Linked DNA regions of Anolis sagrei. The protein of the gene in region 3 binds, or shares a complex with, the protein of the main gene of each other region. Links are inferred from orthologs where the notes say so. Each region holds a gene or a part of one and is shown on either strand. Other genes may lie near its edges.

The links. The genes of interacting proteins can lie anywhere in the genome.
Region 1: SMARCD2 (region 3) and SMARCC2 share a complex: the UniProt entries of both Homo sapiens proteins name them as parts of the BAF complex. The link is inferred for Anolis sagrei from reciprocal best matches to the Homo sapiens genes SMARCD2 and SMARCC2.
Region 2: SMARCD2 (region 3) and DPF3 share a complex: the UniProt entries of both Homo sapiens proteins name them as parts of the BAF complex. The link is inferred for Anolis sagrei from reciprocal best matches to the Homo sapiens genes SMARCD2 and DPF3.

Annotation. Positions count from the first base shown.
Region 1 is NC_090022.1:138,276,652-138,283,781, reverse strand, and holds the start of SMARCC2 (SWI/SNF complex subunit SMARCC2), read left to right. Parts: upstream 1-4,127; 5' UTR 4,128-4,215; coding exon 4,216-4,326; intron 4,327-7,130. UniProt on the Homo sapiens protein: Involved in transcriptional activation and repression of select genes by chromatin remodeling (alteration of DNA-nucleosome topology).
Region 2 is NC_090021.1:285,843,735-285,851,624, reverse strand, and holds the start of DPF3 (zinc finger protein DPF3), read left to right. Parts: upstream 1-4,887; 5' UTR 4,888-4,943; coding exon 4,944-4,975; intron 4,976-7,890. UniProt on the Homo sapiens protein: Belongs to the neuron-specific chromatin remodeling complex (nBAF complex).
Region 3 is NC_090026.1:37,945,188-37,953,082, forward strand, and holds the start of SMARCD2 (SWI/SNF-related matrix-associated actin-dependent regulator of chromatin subfamily D member 2), read right to left. Parts: upstream 3,017-7,895; 5' UTR 2,971-3,016; coding exon 2,788-2,970; intron 1-2,787. UniProt on the Homo sapiens protein: Involved in transcriptional activation and repression of select genes by chromatin remodeling (alteration of DNA-nucleosome topology).

The DNA.
Region 1 (7,130 bases), on a different chromosome or scaffold from region 3:
CTTTAAATCAGGAAGTAGTTTTGTAAGATCATATTTGCAGGAACATCTCAGCAAGCAAGAGTCCAAAAGTGTCAGCCAAAAACCCGGAACCTCAAGCCATGGCTGATACCAAATGAGAGACTCCCCCCTGGGCACACAGAAAACTGGGCGACTTGGACTACCTGCGTGACCACATTTCTGTGTATGAACCCACACGATCTCTTCATTCATCTGGAGAGGCCTTCCTTGCGCTCCCACATCTATCGCAGGCGCGACGTGGGGACAAGGGAGAGGGCTTTCTCAGTGGTGGCCCCTCGACTCTGGAATTCACTTCCCAAGGACATCAGGCATGCCCCAACTCTGGCAGTCTTTAGGAGGAGCCTGAAAACGTGGTTGTTCCAGTGTGCCTTCCCAGAATAATGAATTCTCAGCATTGTGCCCTCCAAATGCACTTTACATTGATTTAGGATTGTTGTACGCTCCCACTAACGCCCCATCTCTCCTACCTTATTCATGCCTAGCATTATTTTTAACTTTAATTACATTTGGCCCAGCCATACATTGTAATTGTGTGTTGTATTATTGTCATTGTATATTGCTTTTTTGTTATGAGTTTTATTTAATCTGTTTTACTGTTGTTGTTATTGCTTATATTGATGTATTGTGGGCTCGGCCTCATGTAAGCCGCATCAAGTCCCTTGGGGAGATGGTAGCGGGGTATAAATAAAGTTTAATAATAATAATAATAATAATAATAATAATAATAAAAGGCGCTGAACAGACTGCGCTCTGGCACCACGAGATGCAGAGCCAATCTTAAGAAATGGGGCCACAATGTGGACTCCACAACATGAGGGTGTGGAGAAGAACAAACCACAGACCACCTACCACAATGCAGCTTGAGCCCTGTCATATGCACAATGGAGGACCTTCTTATAGCAACACCACAGGCACTCCCAAGTGGCCAGCTACTGGTCAAAGAACATTTAGTATAATGCTAAGTTTTTAACTTTGTGGCTTTAAATACATTACGACTGTACCCTCAGTTCGCTTCTGATACAATATAAATAATATAAATAAAGATTATTATTAATATTATTTGATACATAACAAGATTAGTACACAGAAAACAAGATCACTGTGCTATCTTTTGTATTTTATCACATGTTGGACACTTCCCAAGTGTCTAGGACTATGTGATGTATTGGCGACTAATATGTGCAGATCCAAGAAGGGGTGGCCTTTTGTAGTTGACAGATGGTAATTTTGTCAGTGCCGTTTGTTTTTAAGTGCAGGCCAAGGTCTTTGTTGTTGTTGTTGTTGTTGTTATTTTATTACCACACAGCAAACAAGATCACTATGCTGGCTTTTGTATTGGATCACACTTTGGACACTTTCCAAGCGTCTAGGACTATGTGATGTATCGGTTAGTAATCCGTGCTTATCCAAGTAGGGTGGCTTTTTGCAGCTGACAGATGATAATTTTGTCAGCGCCTATTGTTTTTAAGTGCAGGCCAAGATCTTTAGGCACTGCACCCCAGTGTGCCAATCACCACTGGGACCACCTTTACTGGCTTGTGCCAGAGTCTTTGCAGTTTGATCTTTATATCCTCACATTATTATTATTATTATTCTTTTACTGACACAAAAACACAGTATGACACAGCAAACGAAATATATATGCTGGATTTCGTATCACAAAATCACAAGTCAAACACTTCCCAAGCGCCTAGGACTGTGTGATGTATTTTTGAATGATGCGCGCAGATTCAAGTAAGGTGGCTGATTGCATTTTATGGTTTGTCCATTTGGCATCTCTATGCCCTCATTGTGAGTAATTTTCCCTTTCTTTAATGCCATTGTGGCACATTTGTCTAGGCCAAACTCCATACTGATGTCAGTGTTGAAGATTCTGACTGTGTTGGTCAATGACTTGATTTCAGTTTTTGATTTTCCGTAAAGCTTTAGATCAGTGGTTCTCAACCTGTGGGTCCCCAGGTGTTTTGGCCTACAACTCTCAGAAATCCCAGGCAATTTACCAGCTGTTAGGATTTCTGAAGGCCAAAACATCTGGGGACCCACAGGTTGAAAACCACTGATTTAGATCATCCATGTACAGCAAGTGAGAGATTTTTGGTGAATTTCTTGCTGTTTGGTAGCCTATGTTTGTTTTCTGTAGAATTACTGACAGTGGGATAATTGCAATGATGAACAGCAGTGGTGACAGTGAGTAACCTTGGAAAATTCCTCTCTTGATGTTAATAGTTCCATAGCTTTCGCTGCCCACAAACAACTCCATTTTCCATTGTTTCATTGCATTTTCAGTGAACTTTCTAATATTTTCACAAACCCCGATGACATCTAGAAATTTGATAATCCAACAATGTGTCAGTGAGTCAAATGCTTTTTTGTAATCAATCCAAGTTGTATAGTAATTATTATTATTATTATTATTATTACTTTACTTAGGCGATCCCTCATATCTGAGGATGATGGTCCTCCAAGTTCGGTGTCCTGGTGGTGGGTTCGTAGGTGACTGGAGCCCTATTCTTGATCTGCATCTTCTTCCACAGTGACGGCATTGGTTTCCAGGTTGAAGGTGGTCTCGGATGGGCCTTCCTCTTGGCACATTTTCTCACCCTCCATTCGTGCCTCTTCAAATTCTGCAGCACTGCAGGTCACAGCTGACCTCCAGCTGAAGCGCTCAAGGGCCAGGGCTTCCCAGTTCTCAGTGTCTATGCCAGAGTTTTTGAGGTTGGCTTTGAGCCCATCTTTTATTTATTTATTTATTTATTTACAGTTCTTATATTCCGCCCTTCTCACCCCGCAGGGGACTCAGGGCGGATTACAGTCAACACATATATGGCAAACATTCAATGCCAGTTTGACAAACAACATTTAACACACAAATACACCAAGGCTATTTAACTTTTTTCTGGCCGCCAGGGGAGCTGCTGCTTTTCATCGTCCATCAACAACACCGATGAAGTTCTTCCGCATTCCACATTCCCCGGAGTCTTCTTTCTTTATGGCCTCATAAATTAGTTAAATTTAGCCTCCCACACAAGGTGGTCCCTTATTTTCCTACTTGACAGATGCAACTGTCTTTCGGGTTGCAAAGGTCGACAATGGGCTACACAATGGCTGGACACCCACTCCAGCCCGGGCTGGCTTCGAACTCATGACCTTTTGGTCAGAGTGATCTTAATGCAGCTGACACTCAGCCAGCTGCGCCACAATCCCGGTGCTTTAAATCTCTTTTCCTGTCCACCAACGTTCCGTTTCCCGTTCTTGAGTTCGGAGTAGAGCAACAGCTTTGGGAGATGGTGGTCGGGCATTCGGACAACATGGCTGGTCCAGTGGAGTTGATGGCGGAGGACCATTGCTTCAATGCTGTTGGTCTTTGCTTCTTCCAGCACGCTGACATTTGTCCGCCTGTCTTCTCAAGAGATTTGCAGGATTTTCCGGAGGCAGTGCTGATCGTTCCAGGAGTTGCATGTGACGTCTGTAGACAGTCCACGTTTCACAGGCATATAGCAGAGTTGGGAGGACAATAGCTTTATAGACAAGCACCTTGGTATCCCTACGGATGTCCCGGTCCTCAAACACTCTCTGCTTAATTCGGAAAAATGCTGCACTCGCAGAGCTCAGGCAGTGTTGTATTTCGGTGTCAGTGTTGATTTTGGTAGAGAGGTGGCTGCCAAGGTAGCGGAAATGATCTAATGTTACACCATTAAGCTGTATCGCTGGCATTGGAGAGGGGTTGGCTGGTGTCTGCTGGAACAGGACTTTGGTTTTCTTGATGTTCAATGACAGGTCGAGCTTCTTGTATGCTTCTGCGGAGGTGTTCAGAGTGGCTTGTAGATCTTCTGAATGCGCACAGACAACGTTGTCATCAGCATACTGGGGGGGGGGGTCACCAAATACAACTCCCTATATTCCACAGCATTGAGCTATGATAATGCTGACGCCTTTCCACCGCTAGAAGGCGCTCAGGCTAGTTCAGGCGAGCCTGCGCCTCGGGGCCAGCAGGGGTCGCTGTGCTCGAGGGCCGCGCCTGGGCGAAGGAAGGAGGGAGGGAGGGAGAGAAGGCCTGGGCGCGCGCTGGCGCGGTGGGCGCGCGGTGGGGCCTGTGCCGGCAGAGGGCGCTGCGGGGCTGCTGCTCCTTCGGCCGAAGAGGCGTCCAGAGACGAAGGCGGCGCGGCCCAGGCCGGCGGCGGCGCTGCTGCTGCGAAAATGGCGGTGCGGAAGAAGGACGGCGGCCCCAACGTCAAGTACTACGAGGCCTCCGACACTGTCAGCCAGTTCGACAGCGCGCGGGTCTGGCTGGGCAAGAACTACAAGAAGGTAGGCCCGGGCCTGGGCCTGCCGGACTGCCATCGGAGAGGCCTTTCGGGGCTTCTCCGCCCCGGATCACGGCCGGCCTGCTAGCAGAATGGGAAGAGAGAGGGACTGGAGATCTTAAGGAAAGGGGGAAGAGGAAGGGAGGGAGGTGATGGGCATCGGAGGGGCACCGGGCCCCCTCCCCACCCTGCCTTCCATGGGGACGGAGGGAGAGAGGGAGGGAAGGAGGGGATCCTTAAAACTGCACGTCTTACATCAAAGTCTCTCCCTTGGCCCCACGAGCAGCACCTCCATTTATTATTCCTACTCCCTTTCCATCAGGAATCAGCCCTCTTTGGATCACCAGCACCTCCTAGAAAACAGATCCCCCCTTTTTTCTTGAGAAATGGCCATAATCTCAATTGCAGGGTGGCAGGCACGTTTCTTTGACATCTTCGCGCCTGGTGCCCTATTGTCCTTTGCCCCAAGATCAAGCCCTTCTTATTCTCCCATTCATTAGTTCCCACCCTTCTCTACAGATCCCTTCAGGACCTGACACGGAAACTTTCATTCATTGAGGCGTTTACTTGACCTTGCATTTTTTGTTTTTGATTTTAGTGCAGGGTGGGTCAAAAGTCACAAAGAGGTCCTGCATCCTGTACGTGATGCAGGGGTATTGGATTGCCATTTATGAGATTGGATTTTTCACACGTCATGTACATTTATTTATGAGATTCCATTTATGAGATTGAATTTTTCTTGTGTAATGTATATATAAATTAAATATATGCACACAGCGGGTTAAACTGCTGAACTTGCTGACCGAAAGGTCGGTGGTTTGAATCCAGAGAGTGGAGTAAGCTCCTGCTGTTAGCCCCAGCTTCTGCCAACCTAGCATTTCAAAAGCATGCAAATGTGAGTAGATCTGTAGATACCCCTTCAGTGGGAAGGTAATGGCGCTTCATGCAGTCATGCTGGCCACATGGCATTGAAGGTGTCTATGGACAACACTGACTCTTCAGCTTACAAATAGAGATAAGCACCACCCCATAGAGTTGGACACGACTAGACTTAATGCCAAGGGGAAATGTTTACCTTTACCTATCATCATATATGTTATTGTATATTAAAAACAAAACATAAAGGAGCAATAAAGTATTGAAACCCTTTCATGACTTTTGGCCCACCCAGTACCTTCAAATTGCTTTTCGTTCTCCTGGAGCAGCCTCAGTCCCTTTCCTTCCTGCTGGAGATGTGCTCTTTGGCAAGCAGAAAACTTAGCAGTTTTGCAATTTTGAAATGGGATGTGCTGGTTTATTCCCTTATGAGAGATGTTTCAATAACCTCTTTTGGGCATCCAACCTTGCTTTCATTTATTTGTTCTAATGTCAACAGAAATCAGAAATGCATTGTGTATTACAGTTTACAAATGGGGTTGTATTGGAAATGTGTCTGCTGTTTTCTGCCAACAAGTGTCATTGGATGTTGAATCAATGTATTTCTCAATCTCCCTTGTGTCGGCAAGTCTGCTGACCAAAAGGTCAGCAGTTCAAGTCTGGGGAGCAGGATGAGCTCCATCTGTCAGCCCCAGCTTCCCATGCAGGGACATGAGAGAAGCCTCCTACAGGATGGTAAAACATCCGGGCATCTCCGGGCAACATCCTTGCAGATGGCCAATTCTCTCACACCAGAAGCGACTTGCAGTTTCTCAAGTCACTCCTGACACGAAAAAAAAATCTCTGTAATTTGTTAAGAGGAGCCAAAGGCCCAGAAGCTGATGTGAAAGCTGTTTTTAATTCCCCCTATAGACATGCACTTCTCCATAGAGGAGATGGGGACTTGGGTGGCTAGGTTCTGTGTTATGGGGCCCACACAGCCTTTTCAGTTGCTGTCACACGAAGAAGCATGGTCCAGCAAGTTTCCTCTCTTAAATGCTTTGCACTTTGACAGCTGCTTCCGTTCCACATGCTGCTGCCCAGGACTTGATTCCCAGGCTCTTACCTTTGACCTTTCAAGTGAGAGAGAGAGAGAGAGAGAGAGCGCATGCCTCAGTCCCCAGACAATTCATTGTGTTTGGAATGACAGCTTCTGACCCCATGCTCACCACTTCCCTGCTAGCAAGTTTGAATCTCTTGTCAACTGCCCTAGTTATTTGCACCAAAACTCAAGGCTGAATCTGCACTACTACATAATACAGTTTGAAATGCATTGCGTGGTTAGTGTAGACCCATACAGTGCAGTTTGAACTGCATTGATCTGCATTATATGGGTCTGTATTGACCATATCATGCAGTTAAAACTGTATTATGTAGTAGTGTAGATCTAGCTCAAGATGGAGTCCCTTTGTAGACCCTGTGCTATTACAGCGAGCAACTTTTCCTGTTTTGATGGTGTTTCCAGACAAATTAAAAAGGAAGTTTAAATGAGGGCTATTTAGGGTAGTGGGTTTCTTTCCATGGTTGCTCCTCCCCATGCTTGAGTTAAGGAGCCCTGTTCTGGCAAGACTGCTGACTGAAAGGTCAGCGGTTTGAATCTGAGGAGCGGGGCGAGCTCCCATCTGTCAGCACCAGCTTCCCATGGGAGTCATGAGAGAAGCCTCCCACAGGATGGTAAAACATATGCACTTATCATAGGCAACATCCTTGCAGACGGCCAGTTCTCTCACACCCGAAGCGACTTGCAGTTTCTCAAGTAGCTCCTGATACTAATAAAAAACTCTTCCATTATTGTTATGGACACAAGTGGGACCCATTTACTAGTTATGCATGAAAAAAATAAACCTCTCTAAGAAAGATGATGGTCTATGTTGATTATAATGCTATACAGTA
Region 2 (7,890 bases), on a different chromosome or scaffold from region 3:
AACAAACAAAATCAGTTATATCTCTTTCTGAAGGACAGACAAGATGGAGAGGGCTGATCTAATCTCACCAGGAAAGGAGTTCATAGAATCATAGAGCTGGAAGAGACCTCATGGGTCATCCAGTCCAACCCCCTGCCAAGAAGCAGGAAAACTGCATTCAAAGCACCCCCGACAGATGGCCATCCAGCCTCTGTTTAAAAGCTTCCAAAGAAGGAGTTTCCACCACACTCCGGGGCAGAGAGTTCCACTGCTGAATGGCTCTCACAGTCAGAAAGTTCTTCCTAATGTTCCATAGCTGGGGGGCAATCACTGAGAAGGTCCTCTCTCTCGTCTCCACCAAACACATCTGTGACGGTAGTGGGACAGAGAGCAGGGCCTCCCCAGAAGATCTTAGTCTTCGTGGTGGTTCGTAAAGGGAGATGCATTGGACAGGTAAACTGGGCCAGGGCTATTTAGGGCTTTATAGCCTAAAGCCAGCACTTTGAATTGTGCCCGGTAGCAAACAGGTGGAGCTGACATAACATTAGAGTTGTGTGCTCCCTGTATGCAGCCCTGGTTATCAACTTGGTTGCCTCTCGTTGGACTATTTGAAGCTTCCAAACAGTCTTCAAAGGCAACTCCACATAGTGTTGCAGTACTCTATCCTAGATGTAATGACAACGTGGACCACAGTGGCCAAGTCTGACTTCCCAAGACATGGGTGCAACTGGTGCGTAAGTTTTAATTGTACAAAAGCTGCCCTAGCCACCGCCACAACCTGAGGTTCCAGGCTCAGCAATGAGTTCAGGAGGATTCCCAAGCTGCGAACCTGCACCTTCAAAGGGGGTGTAACCAGGAGGACCTCTGTCTTGTCTGGATTCAACTTCAATTTGTTTGCCCTCATCCAGACTCTCACAGTGGCCAGACTTAAGCAGCTGAAGGGGGAAAGGAAAGGGCCTGAGGCTGATAGGAATTGAGGGAGTTGAAGTCCAAAACACCCAGAGAGAGGGCCCAAGTTTCCCCATGCCTGAGCTAACCTATGTTTGGGGATGAGGCCAGGATCTTGAGTAGCTCCTACTAAAAACCAGTGCAGATTTCTCATTTAGCTTGCCCCCTACTCCTTTCAAACACTTAGATGTGGCCTGTCTTAACCTTCTCCTCTCCAGGTTAAACATATCTGGCTCTCTGAGCCACTTTCTCACAGCGCTTGGCTTTGGTTGCCCTTCTCTGGACAGGTTCCAGCTTGTCAATATCCTTCTTGAACAGTGGTGCCCAGAACTGGACTGATGGGTTGACTTGGTATGCATGGAAGTTGTCCTTTGCCACTGTGGCAGGTGCCTACTCTTGACGCAGCCTTCCTGAATTCCACTTTATGCTTAAGTCAAATTGGTTGAGCAGTGTAACCTGTCCAAGTTGACTCAGACCTAAGTCCTATTGTGTCCCTTGGGGCTTATCCTGCCCTACCTTCACTGCAGTTAATGGTATGTGTCCTGATCATGTGCATCTACACGCTTAAGCGGCTGAGGGGGGAAAGGAAGGGGCCTGAGGCTGTTAGGAATGGTGGGAGTTGAAGTCCAAAACACTTGGAGGGAGGGCCAAAGCCTGCCCCTGCCTGGTGTCGAGGGAGAGTGACTCCAGCCTTCTTGTAAGCACATTAAAGCAATCCTTTTGTTTCTCCCTCTGGGTAATTCCTTTGCAGACTCCTGTAATTAGCGACAGGTAAACTCAGACGTCTTGGAGTGGGCTGCCTTTGCCAGGAGCTTTGCCAGAGCGGTGTCTGCGCTCCTTTGGCGGTGCAATTCCCCCTCTTAATGAGAAAGTTGGCAAAGCTCCTCCTCCTCCCTCCCTCCCCCCTCCCTGATGCCAGAGGTCAGGTCTCGACACGCCAAAGCAGACGATCCTGGGGGAGGAGGAAAAGACATCGTCTTTCATTTTTCCAAAAGTTCCTTGGGAGTGAAGCAAGCAGGCGGTCGGTTGGGCCACTTCGCGTTATGTAACGACGCGGAGAGGCATTCCTGGCCGGAGGGGGAGAGGAAGGGGAAGGGAAGGGAAGGGAAGGGAAGGAAAGGGTGCCCGTCCTGCGCCGGAGTCAATACGACCGTTGCAACGCTGCCAAGAAACCTGAAGCGGAAAGTGGTCGGAAGGGAAAAGCTGCGGGAAACGGAGGAGGAGGGAAAGGCGGAACTTTCTTGACTTTCTTTGCAGTGCCAGAAATGCACCCACATGGCTGGGAGGCGGTCTCTGCAAGAGCATGGTTTAGGCTGGATCTGCACTGCCATAGTTTGAACTGCAGTAAATACTGGAACCCTTGTGCCAGCAGGACTGAAGACCCACAGGTCGGAGGTTCGAATCCAGGGAGAGTGCGGATGAGCTCCCTCTGTCAGCTCTAGCTCTCCATGCGAGGACATGAGAGAAGCCTCCCACAAGGATGATAAACCATCAAAATATCTGGGCGCCCCCTGGGCAACGTCCTTGCCCACGGCCAATTCTCTCACACCAGAAGCGACTTGCAGTTTCTCAAGTCGCTCCTGACACACTCTCACTCACTCCGAGTAGGATAGTCTTCCAGGATCAGTGTACTGGCGGTGGGTCCTTAGGTGACTGTGGAGCCCTGTTCTTGACCTGCGTCTTCTCCTCAAGTGAGGGCATTGATTTCCAGGTGGAAAAAGGTCTTAGTCAGGATTGGCTTGATTGGCACGTTTCTCTCTTTCGCCTTCCATTCGTGCCTCTTCAAATTCTACAGCACTGCTGGTCACAGCTGACCTCCAACTGGAGCACTCAAGGGCCAGGACTTCCCAGTTCTCAGTGTATATGCCAAAGGCTTTGAGCCCATCTTTAAATCTCTTTTCCTGCCCACCAACATTCCATTTTACGTTCTTGAGTTCAGAGTAGAGCAACTGCTTTGGGAGACGGTGGTCGGGCATCCGGACAATGTGGCCGGTCCAGCGGAGTTGATGGCGGAGGACCATAGCTTCAGTGCTGGTGGTCTTTGCTTCTCCCAGCATGCTGGCATTTGTCTTCGCAAGAGATTTGCAGGATTTTCCGGAGGCAGCGCTGATGGAATCGTTCCAGGAGTTGCGTGTGACATCTGTAGACAGTCCACGTTTCACAGGCATATAGCAGGTTTGGAAGGACAATAGCTTTACAAACAGGCACCTTGTTTACAAACAGGCACCTTGTTATCCCTGCAGATGTCCCGACACACACACAACGGCAGTAAATGGTTGCATACTGACTATATAACACAGTTCAAACTGCATTATATGACAGAGGAGCAGGAGGAAGTGGTCCCAAACTCCTCCAGAGTTCTGAAGGCCCCCTTCCTCCACTGACATGTATTGTGGCCCATCTACAGAGATATTCTTGGAAGACCTCAGCAAGCGAGAGTCCAAAAGTGGCAGGCTAAAACCCAGCACCTCAATCCATGGCTGATACCAAATGAGAGATTCCTTCCTGGGCACACAGAAGACTGGGCAACTTGGAAGGCATTGAACACACTGTTGGGGATTGTGGGAGTTGAAGTCCAAAACTGCATTCATCCTTTGTGCACACGTGCATGTGTGTGTGAGGAACGACTTGAGAAACTGCAAGGCACTTCTAGTGTGAGAGAATTGGCCGTCTGCAAGGACGTTGCCCAGGTGTGTTACCATTCTGTGGGAGGCTTCCCTAGTTCCAGCATGGGAGGCTCTTGCACCAGGAGATGCAAAGCCAATCTTAAGAAATGGGCCCACAAAGTGGAGTCTAAGACATGGTAGTGTGGAGAAGAGCAAACCACAGACCACCTATTACAATGCAACCTGAGCCCTGCCACATGCACAATGGAGGACCTTCTTGCAGCAACACCAGAGGCACTCCAAGTGGCCAGCTACTGGTTAAAGGACATTTAATAGAAGGCCAAGTTTTTAAACTTTGTGTTTTCTCAAATACATCAGAACTATACCCTTGGTTCGCTCTCTGATACGATAGATCAATAAATAAATGGGAAGCTGGAGCTGACAGATGGGAGCTCACCTTGGTCTCCCGGAATCAAAGCTGCTGATCTTTTGGGCAGCAGTCCAGACGGCACATGAGTTTAATAGAATGCCAAGTTTTAAAACTTTGTTTTCTCAAATACATCACAACTGTACCCTTGGTTCGCTCCTGATACAATAAATAAATAAATAAATAAATGGTAAGCTGGAGCTGACAGACGGGAGCTCATCTTGCTCCCTGGATTCAAAACTGCTGATCTTTTGGTCAGCAGCCGTGCAGGCACATGAGTTTAATAGAACGCCAAGTTTTTTAAACTTTGTGTTTTCTCAAATACATTACAACTGTACCCTTGGTTCACTGCTGATACGATAAATAAATAAATGGGAAGCTGGAGCTGACAGATGGGAGCTCACCTTGGTCTCCCAGAATTAAAACTGCCGATCTTTTGGTCAGCAGTCTATATGGCATGTGAGTTTAATAGAATGCCAAGTTTTTAAACTTTGTGTTTTCTCAAATACATCCCAACTGTACCTTTGGTCCGCTGACACAATAAATAAATAAATGGGAAGCTGGAGCTGACAGACGGGAGCTCAGCCTGCTCCCCGGATTCAAAACTGCCGATCTTTTGGTCAGCAGTCCAGACGGCACATGACTTTATTAGAATGCCAAGTTTTTAAACTTTGTGTTTTCCCAAATATCCTTGGTTCGCTCCTGATACGATAAATAAGTAAGTCCAGAGCGTGGCTCTGTGTCTCTCTCCCCTTTTCCCCGTGCCGCTGGCCCTTTAAGACCTGCTCTCCGAACACTTGCACAGAAAGGGAGTGACCTCTGGGCTTTGACAGCTCCCCTAATAACCAGCCCGAGCCCTGGCCCCGCCCACCGCGCTCCGATTGGTCGCCGGGCCGGTATCCTCTCTCCCCATTGGGCGCCCGGTTCCCCTGAGCGAACCTTTTAGAACTCCGAGGCACAATATTCTGTTACATTGTAGCAAAATGGCGACTGTCATTCACAACCCCCTGAAAGCGTAAGTAGGAATCAAAAATGTACATATTTCCGCGTGGTTTCGATATGAAAAAAGGGCGCCTTTCCCTATGCAGGCGGCCAAGGCAGGAGCGGGCTGCCGGCAAGGCTCCCTCGCTCCCGGGGTTGGTGTGGCTTGCCTTATTTGTGTGTCACACGCACAAAAGTCTCCCTCCGCGGGGGAATTTCATGGGAAGGAACCAATTGTCACCGGGGCGTCCTGCCTGATTGATTGATGGGCGGCTGGCCGGGGACGGAGAGAGTTTTGGGGGCTCTTTAAAGGCGAAGCCACGGCTTCCGTGGCAGCTCCGGGTGGTCGGAGTCGGGGAAGGAAGGAAGGAAAAGGGAAGGGAAAGGAAGGGAAAGAAGGATCGATGCCGGGCAGGATTGGGCTGGATCTAGATCTCCCTTTCTATCCAGGGCGGCTTGTGCAGCAGTTGGGGAGTTCTTTCTTTTGTATGCCTGTCTTCGTGCATTTGTGTGCCTTCTGTGCGCGACATTTCCAAGCCCGGGGAGGAAGGAAAGAGAGTCGGGGGCTTGCCTCCCTTTCCCAGCCTTTCCTGCGCCTGTTTGCCCGGAGGGACTGCGCCGCGGACCTTTTCCTTGGCAGGTCAAGCCTTGGGAGCTCTGCGTAGATATATAGATCTAGATACACGGATGTATTGATACGAAACCCTGAGGCAAAGAGACGGCCGGACTTCCTGCGCTTGGATGGGAAGTAGCCTCCCGAGAATATATAGAAATATTCGGGAGAGAAAGAGAGAGAGACCTGGGGAGGTGAAAATATATTTCTCTCCAACTCTCTGTATATATATCAAGCATGGTCGAACTTGGGATCTCCAGGTGTTTTGGACTCGAACTCCCATCATCCCTCCCAGCCACAGGTCCCTTCCTTTTCTCCCTCAGCCGCTTAAGCGAACTTGGACCCTCCAGGTGTTTTGGACTCCAACTCCCACAATCCCCAACAGACACAGGCCCCTTCCTTTTCTCCCTCAGGAAAAGGAAGGGACCTGAGGTTGTTGGGGATTGTGGGAGTTGGAGTCCAAAACAGGAAGGGGTCTGAGGCTGTTGGGGATTGTGGGAGTTGCAGTCCAAAACATCTCAGACCCTCTTCTTTTCTCAGGAAGGGGCCTGAGGTTGTTGGGGATTGTGGAGTTGGAGTCCAAAACAGGAAGGAGTTTGAGTTTGTTGGGATTGTGGGAGTTGGAATCCTAAACAGGAAGGGGTTTGAGTTTGTTGGGGATTGTGGGAGTTGGAGTCCAGTGCTGCTTCTCCTCTATTATCGCTGGCCTCTGACAGGAAGGGGTTTGAGGCTGTTGGAGATTGTGGGAGTTGGAGTCCAAAACACCTGGAGGGCCCAAGTTCGCCCATGCCTGTTCTGTATGCATGTATCAGCTCTCTCTATTTTTTCGTGTCAGGAGTGACTTGAGAAATTGAATTGGGCGTCTGCAAGGATATTGCCCAGGGGATGTTTTACCATCCTTGTGGGAGGCTTCTCTCATGTCCCCGGCATGGGGAGCTGGAGCTGACAGAGGGAGCTCATCCTCTCTCTCTCCCCGAATTCGAACCTTCGACCTGTCGGTTTAAGCCATGCCTACCTATCGAGAGATAGTTGGAGCGTGAAAGAGGGAATCCTCGGAGAGCTGGAAGACTCTCCTCGCTTCCCATTCCGGAAGCCCGTTGGCGCTCCTCTTTGGCTCCGGGTCCACGGTTCCTTCCCCTCCATCTGCCTCTTCTCCTCCCTTCCCTCCCTCGCTCCAATCTTTCCCAAAGTAGAAAGGCTTGGGGGAGGTGTGCGTGTGCGTGTGTAGATCTCGGCGTGAGGGACTCGAGGCTCCGGCGTTGTGCTGTGTGTGTGTGTGTGTTTGTTGTGTATGTGTCTCTTTCTCTCCCCGGGGGCGGGCAGGAGGCGTCCCGACAGGTGCAGCCGGCTCCGGGAAGCAGTCGGAAGGAAGGCGCTGTGAAGATTGAGGGAGGGAGGCTTTCCTGGCCGGGTTGGGGAGGAGGGGGGTAGTTCTTTCGGGCTGGAAGACACTCACACGTTTGCTCGCACAGACACGCAACCAGCCGGCTAATCCCCGAAGGCATTAAGAAGGGAAGGGAAGGGGGGGGGGAGGGGTTTGGCCGCAGGTCTGGAGGCGCCCACTCGGCTTCCGCCCTCCCCCCTCCCGCCCCTTGACCTTTAGAGCCTCACGTTTGGCGCCGGAGGAAAGGAAAAGGCTGGCTTTCCGAGGGGGAGGGGGCACTTCCCCGCTCCTTTTAAAAGCCAAGGGACTGTCTGCAGCCACTTCCTTCCCCTTTGAGCTGCGCTTCCCGCCCTTGGCCAGCAACTCGGGGCTGACTTTGGGGCCCTCCAGACGGCAGAGGGTCTTGGCAAGCGGCTCCTGGTGTGAGAGAATTGGTCGTCTGCAAGGACGTTCCCCAGGGAACGCCTGGATGTTTGACTATCCAGTGGGAGGCTTCTCTTATGTGTTCAGATGAGAAGCTGGAGCTGACAGAGGGAGCTCACCCTGCTCCCGGATTCGAACCGCAGCAGTCCTGTCAGCAAGAGCCAGCGTTTTTCATAGACGCCCCCTAGGTCACGTGTCCAACATGATTGAATGGAGTGTCATTACCTTCCCGCCGAAGCGGTACCTATTGAGCTACTGTCATTTGCATGCTTTAGAACTGCTAGATTGGCAGAAGCTGGGGCTAACAGTAGGAGCTCACTCTCTGGATTCAAACAGCAAGTTCAGCAGCTCAGTGGTTTAACCTGCTGCGCCACCAGGGGCCTATACATAAATAAAAATAAATAATTGGGGGAAGGGGAGGTTCCGGGGGGTCCACCCCAAGGCTCTTTTCAGTGGGAGGGGAGCCCACGCGAGGTGGAGAAAGCCAACTTCCAGGCGGATGGCGAGGGGAACGCCTAAGCACCCCCCT
Region 3 (7,895 bases):
TCACCACGTTAAAACAGTGGATGTGGCTCTTAATGAGACATGCCGCATTATCACAGGATGCCTATATCCTACGCCATTGAAAAAATTATTCTGTTTGGTCGGTACTGCACCATCTGATATGTATCGAGAAGTAGCAGCCAGTAAAGAAAGGACCAAGGCATTGACATCTCCAGCCCACCCTCTGTTTGGATATCAGCCAGCATTCCAACGTCTTAAATCAGAAAATACTTTTCTAAGATCTACAGAGATAGTCGCAAGAACATCTTGGCAAACACGAGTCCAAAAGTGGCAGGCTAAAACTTGAAACATCAAACAGTGGCTGACACAGGATCAGAAACTCCCTTCTGGGTACACAGAAGACTAGGCGACTAGGAAGACACTGAACAGACTGCGCTCTGACACCACGAGATGCAGAGCCAATCTTAAGAAATTGGGCCACAAAGTGGAGTCAACGACATGAGAGTGTGGAGAAGAGCAAACCACATATCACTTAACTACAATGCAGGCTGAGCCCTGTCACATGCACAATAGAGGACCTTCTTTCAGTGACACCAGAGGCACAGAAATTTTTGCATTATGCCAAGTTTTTAACTTTGTTTGTGTTTATTTTAAACTACCATCCCTTGCCACGCGTTGCTATGGCCCAGTCTATATATATGTTCTTTGTGTGTGTATATGTGTATATATTTGTTTGCGTATATATATGTCGTTCTGCACATGCGTTGTAATGAATTTTTTTATTTTTTGGCTTTTAAGATTCTTCTGCTTTGTTTTTCAGTGTTTTTATGAGTGATGGTCACTCGTTGGCCTGATAAGGGTATTGTGTCCGAATTTGGTGTCAATTCGTCCAGTGGTTTTTGAGTTATGTTAATCTCACAAACGAACATTACATTTTTATTTATATAGATTCATTATAATACACAGGACTGTATTCAGTGCTGTGCCAGCAGGACTGAAGACCGACAGGTCGCAGGTTCGAATCCGGGGAGAGGCGGATGAGCTCCCTCTATCAGCTCCAGCTCCTCATGCGGGGACATGAGAGAAGCCTCCCACAAGGATGATAAAAACATCAAATCATCCGGGCGTCCCCTGGGCAATGTCCTAGCAGACGGCCAATTCTCTCACACCAGAAGCAACTTGCAGTTTCTCAAGTCGCTCCTGACACAACAAAAATAAATAAATAAATAAAAATCCAGGCATCCCCTGGGCAACATCTTTGCAGATGACCAATTCTCTCACACCAGAAGCGACTTGCAGTTTCTCAAGTTGCTCCTGACAGGACAAAAAAATTATAATTGTTTTCTTAATTCACTTCTGACACGATAAATCAAATGTTAATTGAAGACCTGTAGCAAAATGTCCTGCAGGATGTCCTGCAAAAAAAACATATTTTTTTTTGCAATTTCATAAACTTTTTTCATGTTTTTAATGATAGATCTAGGGAAGTAATGCTACCCCTCTATTCTGCTTTGGTTAGACCACACCTGGAATACTGTGTCCAATTCTGGGCACCACAATTCAAGAGAGACATTCACAAGCTGGAATGTGTCCAGAGGAGGGCGACTAAAATGATCAAGGATCTGGAGAACAAGCCCTATGAGGAGCGGCTTAAGGAGCTGGGCATGTTTAACCTGAAGAAGAGAAGGCTGAGGGGAGATATGATAGCCATGTATAAATATGTGAGAGGAAGCCACAGGGAGGAGGGAGCAAGCTTGTTTCATAGAATCATAGAATCATAGAATCAAAGAGTTGGAAGAGACCTCATGGGCCATCCAGTCCAACCCCCTGCCAAGAAGCAGGAATATTGCATTCAAATCTCCCCTGACAGATGGCCATCCAGCCTCTGTTAAAGAGCTTCCAAAGAAGGAGCCTCCACCACACTCCGGGGCAGAGAGTTCCACTGCTGAACGGCTCTCACAGTCAGGAAGTTCTTCCTCGTGTTCAGATGGAATCTCCTCTCTTGTAGTTTGAAGCCATTGTTCCGTGTCCTAGTCTCCAAGGAAGCAGAAAACAAACTTGCTCCCTCCTCCCTGTGGCTTCCTCTCACATATTTATACATGGCTATCATATCCCCTCTCAGCCTTCTCTTCTTCAGGCTAAACATGCCCAGCTCTTTAAGCCGCTTGTTCTCCAGACCTTTTATCATTTTAGTTGCTCTCCTGTTTTCTGCTTCCCTGGAGACTAGGACAAGGAACAATGGCTTCAAACTACAAGAAAGGAGATTCCATCTGAACATGAGGAAGAACTTCCTGACTGTGAGAGCCGTTCAGCAGTGGAACTCTCTGCCCTGGAGTGTGGTGGAGGCTCCTTCTTTGGAAGCTTTTAAACAGAGGCTGGATGGCCATCTGTCAAGGGTGATTTGAATGCAAAATTCCTGCTTCTTGGCAGAATGGGGTTGGACTGGATGGCCCATGAGGTCTCTTCCAACTCTTTGATTCTATAGAACCAATTAGGAAATGATGGAAATAACCCAGGAACAATAATCGTGTTACATAGTGTGAAGTGGATTCAGAAACTGGATTTGACAGCAGTGTAGACAGCGCCTCTGCCATGGAAGCCCACCAGGCGGGTCACACACTCTCTCAGCCTCAGAGAAGGCAAAGCAAACAACTTCTGGGCAAATCAACAAAACAAAACCAAACAAGAGATGGGGAAAAAACATTCAAAGGCACACAACAGCAGCTTGCTTTGAAAGCCAAACCTTTCCTGGCCCAGACACGTGTCTAAAAGCCATGCCTTCCTCGTGTGTGCTGCTCCCCGACACTCCCTCCTCCAGAAGCCACCTACTTGGAAGGGGACTCCGTGCGCCATGGGCCGGAATGGGGTGGCCCCGGGGCTGGGCCCTCCTCGCAAAAGCACACCGCCTCCGGGCCCCGGGGGAAGAGGGACGCCTGCTGAGGCCGAGAGCGCCATGGAAGGCAGCCTCTCGGGCGGCGAGGCCATGGGGAAGTTCCCGCCGCGCCCGGCCATCGGAGGAGAAGCAAGAGACGAGTCCTTCCTCAATCGGAGGCAACCGCCGTCTGAGGGGAGAGAAGAGGAAGCGGCTTCGATTGACTGACGAGGCGAACGGCTCCCTCAGCCAATCGGAGGCCCCGGCAGCGGCAGGCCCCTCCCCCCAGGACCGCCCTCTCCGTCAACCGCCAAGAGAGCGGGAAAGGAGGCGGGGGGACTGAGAGAGGGAAAGGGAGGGAAGCGAGGCCAATGAGCGCCTGACGAGGCCCAGCGCCAAAGAAGCGCCTCAGAGAGGCACGCGGCCCAGTCACGAGGGCAAACACACACACACACTCTCCCTCTGACTGGAATGTTTATGTCCAATCCATAGTTGTCTCTCATACATATATACATACATTCACACACACATATATCTAGCGTTACAAATACAAAAAACAATGCCCAGTATATATATATATAATAATCTATCGAAACCCAACCTTGCCACCAAAGTAGGAAAGAAACCAATAGCCAGGCAACCAGATATTGAGAACAACAACCTTCAAGAACCTTTTACATCTACTGTGCTGGTACAACTGCACCAGGAGCTCCAATTTTGTTTGTTTTGCATTGAATGTTTGTTGCAGTCCTAAGTTTCAGGGACTCTGCAGATACGTGGCTTCTTTTGGCTGCAATCATAGGGCAAGCCACCTGTCAATTATAGTTAGGTTCCCTGGTCCTGTCCCCCTTTTGGGTTTTTGGAGGGAATAGGAGCCTTTTTGGGTCAGTCCACACAGCGAAGCCTTTCGCACATGACATAAAACCAAGAGCTCCTGTAGAAAGTAGGGCTGGGTGGTTTCGTTTCGTTAATTCGTAATTCGTTAAAAAATCGTTATTTTTTTTATAACGAAGCAATAACGAACCATTCTGGAGCAACTTTAAAACGAAACGAATTTTTAAATTTGTTTCGTAATTGTTTCAGATTCGTTATGTATTCGTTTCGTTATCGTTTTGAAGTCGTTTCGTTATTATTTCCGCATGTCTGGGGCAAGTTTTATAGTTGTTTTTTGTTTAATTAGTTAAAAAAAATTATAATATCACACCAACAGTCAACAACAGAGGGAGAGGGAAGCTTCAGAAGTTCCCCCTGTCCCATTTGGAGGTTTTTTAGCGTATTTCGCGGTCGCGTCCGCCATTAACGAATTGATTCGTTATTGTTTCGAAATCGATTCGTTATTGTTTCGTAATTTTTTTAACATTTACGAAATTTCGTAAATATCGAACTTTTTAAAAGAAAAATTTCGGAATTCTTTTTAAAACCAAAACGCAAAAACCCCCAAAAAACTAATCGATTTTAGAAACAAATTTTTCCGTTGTTACCCAGGCCTAGTAGAAAGCTTTGTCTTCTACGGCTTGGCCGGAGAGATATACAGCCTACAGCTTGGCCAGGGTTATACAGCCCACAGCTTGGCCAAGGATCAGATAGCCTTACAGCTCCTTTGCTGAAGGACTTCAGTCAGCCATCACTGAAACCTGAACTCCTTTTTCCCTGGAAGTCTACAAAGCTCTGCTTGGTAAGGGTCGCTCGTGGAAGCCAGACGCAGTTGGTACCGGGTGCAGGGGCTCCACGCCAACAGAGGCAAAGACAGACTGCCCAGATTAGAAGTTAAGGATTTCCCCATTAGTTAGTTACAGTTAAGAAGATAGTGACTGTTCCCAGTGGACAAGAGTCAATAGACTATTAAGAAAGCCTTGAAGTACCTGTTTGTTTTCAATAATAAAGAACTTTGTTGAACCTTTAAGCAATCTAAAGACTCTGTCTGGGGAAATTCAAGGGTCTTTAATCTGAGGCAGCCCCAGCGTCCCGTTGGGCACACAGAATTTGTGTCCTGTCTACAGTCTTATGCACAGGCCCAGCATGCGACAGCACATCTACTGAATTGGACATGGCTCCCAATAAATGTAAAAATGGCAAAGCAGCTGGCCTGGATGATCTATGGATGGAACAAATCAAGAACTTTGGTCCAAAAGCAAGGCGCTGGCTGCTGGAACAGATGAACAATTGCACTGCATCCTGTCAGATCCCCAAAATCTGGAGGAAAGCAAGAGTCATTGCCATCTTGAAGCCAGGCAAAGGCCGTAATGATCCAAATAGCTATAGATTAATCTCCCTGTTGTGCCACCTCTACAAAGTTCTGGAGAGACTTATTTTGCATAGAATTACGGAAAAAATAGACCAATGTCTGATCCCACAGCAAGCTGGCTTCAAGAAAGGCAAAAGCTGCACATCGCAAGTGCTGAACCTGACTCAGCGCATAGAAGATGGCTTTGAAAGGCAGCAGATCACAGGAGCTGTCTTCATAGACCTGTCAGTGGCTTATGGTATTGTAAACCACCGCCTCCTCCTGAGAAAGATGTATAATATCACAAAGGACTACCATCTCACCCGCCTCATAGGAAACCTGATACAAAACAGGAGCTTCTTTGTTGAGTTCCAGGGCCAGAGAAGCAGATGGCGGAAAGAGAAGAATGGCCTGCCTCAGGGGAGTGTGCTTGCTCCATCCATGTTCAACATTTACACAAAAGACGAGCCACTGCCAGAAGGGACAGAGAGTTTCATCTATGCTGATGATCGTGCCATTACTGCTCAAGCAGGGAGCTTTGAGATGGTTGAACAGAAGCTCTCCGAAGCTCTAGGTAATCTTACTGCCTATTACAGGGAAAACCAGCTGATTCCTAACCCATCTAAAACACAGACATGTGCTTTTCACCTTAAGAACAGACAAGCATCCCGAGCTCTGAGGATTACCTGGGAAGGAATCCCACTGGAGCATTGCAGCACACCCAAATATCTGGGCGTCACTCTGGACCATGCTCTGACCTATAAGAAGCACTGCCTGAATATCAAGCAAAAGTGGGTGCTAAGAACAATATCATATGAAAACTGACTGGCACAACCTGGGGATCACAACCAGACACAGTGAAGACATCTGCCCTTGCGCTATGCTACTCTGCTGCTGAGTATGCATGCCCAGTGTGGAACACATCTCACCACACTAAAACAGTAGATGTGGCTCTTAATGAGACATGCCGCATTATCACAGGGTGTCTGCGCCCTACACCACTGGAGAAATTACACTGCTTAGCCGTTATTGCACCACCTGACATCCGCCGGGAAGTAGCAACCAATAGTGAAATGACCAAGGCAGTGACATCTCCAGCTCATCACCTGTTTGGGTATCAAGAAATAGTTTTCTTAGATCTACAGAGACACTCGCTGGAACACCTCAGCAAGTGAGAGTCCAAAAGTGGCAGGATCAAACTTAGAACCTCAATCAATGACTGATACCAAATGAGAGACTCCTCCCTGGGCACACAGAAAACTGGGCAACTTGGAAAGCACTGAACAAACTGTGCTCTGGCACCACGAGATGCAGAGCCAACCTTAAGAAATGGGGTTACAAAGTGGAATCCACGACATGCGAGTGTGGAGAAGAGCAAACCACAGACCACCTGCTGCAATGCAACCTGAGCCCTGCCACATGCACAATGGAGAACCTTCTTGCAGCAACACCAGAGGCACTCCAAGTGGCCAGCTACTGGTCAAAGGACATTTAATCAACTACTAAGCTTGCAAACTTTGTGTTTTGTTTGTCTGTTTGTTTTTTTGTTTGTTAAAAAATGCAATGCAGCTGTTTGGTCTGCTCCTGACATGATAGATAAATAAATAAATAAATTTATCGATGATTTCGGACAGATGGCAAGCTATTTAACCTCAGTAGAATGAAAGCCAGAACCAAGGTTACAACATTTGTTATAGAACTCCAATATGTTGATGACAACATCATCTGTGCGCATTCAGAAGAAGGTCTACAAGCCACTCTTAACACCTTTGCGGAAGCATATGAGAAGCTTCGCCTGTCAATGAACATCGAGAAAACCAAAGTGCTCTTCCAGCAGTCACCAGCCAATTGCTCTCCAATGCCAGAAATACAGCTTAATGGTGTAACATTAGAAAATGTTGACCATTTCTGCCAGGCATGTAGCCGGGGGGAGGGGGGGGGGCTCGAGGGGCTTAACCCCCCCCCCCCCCCCCCGAAATTCTCATGGTGGTTCGTGAAAAGGCCTTACTGGTGCATTGTTTAAACTGTTATGTTTATTCATATCATGATCTGATCACCATGCTCAATATATCCCATATGCATGGGGGTACTGGGGTAACGATACAAAAGGTTTGCTAGGCTAGACCCTCTTTCACTCAGACTCAGCCCCCCCCCCCCCCGAAACAAACTCAGACCCCCCCCCCCCAATCGAAATCCTGGCTACGGGCCTGATTTCCTCTACCATGGCAGCCACATCTCCACAAAAGTCAACATTGACACTGAAATACAGCACCGCCTGAGCTCTGCGAGTGCAGCTTTTTTCCAAATGAAGCAGAGAGTGTTTGAGGACCGGGACATCCGTAGGGATACCAAGGTGCTTGTTTATAAAGCTATTGTCCTCCCAATCCTGCTATATGCCTGTGAGATGCGGACTGTCTACAGACGTCACATGCAACTCCTGGAATGATTCCATCAGCGTTGCCTCCGGAAAATCCTGCAAATCTCTTGGGAAGACAAGCGGACAAATGTCAGTGTGCTAGAAGAAGCAAAGACCACCAGCACTGAAGCGATGGTCCTCTGCCATCAACTCCGCTGGACCGGCCATGTTGTCCGGATGCTCAACCACCATCTACCAAAGCAATTGCTCTACTCTGAACTCAAGAACAGAACATGGAATGTTGGTGGGCAGGAAAAGAGATTGAAAGATGGGCTCATCTGGCATAGACACTGAGAACTGGGAAGCCCTGGCCCTTGAGTGCTCCAGTTGGAGTTCAGCTGTGATCAGCAGTGCTGCCGAATTTGAAGAGGCACTAATGGAGGGCGAAAGAGAGAAACGTGCCAAGAGGAAGGCACGTCAAGCCA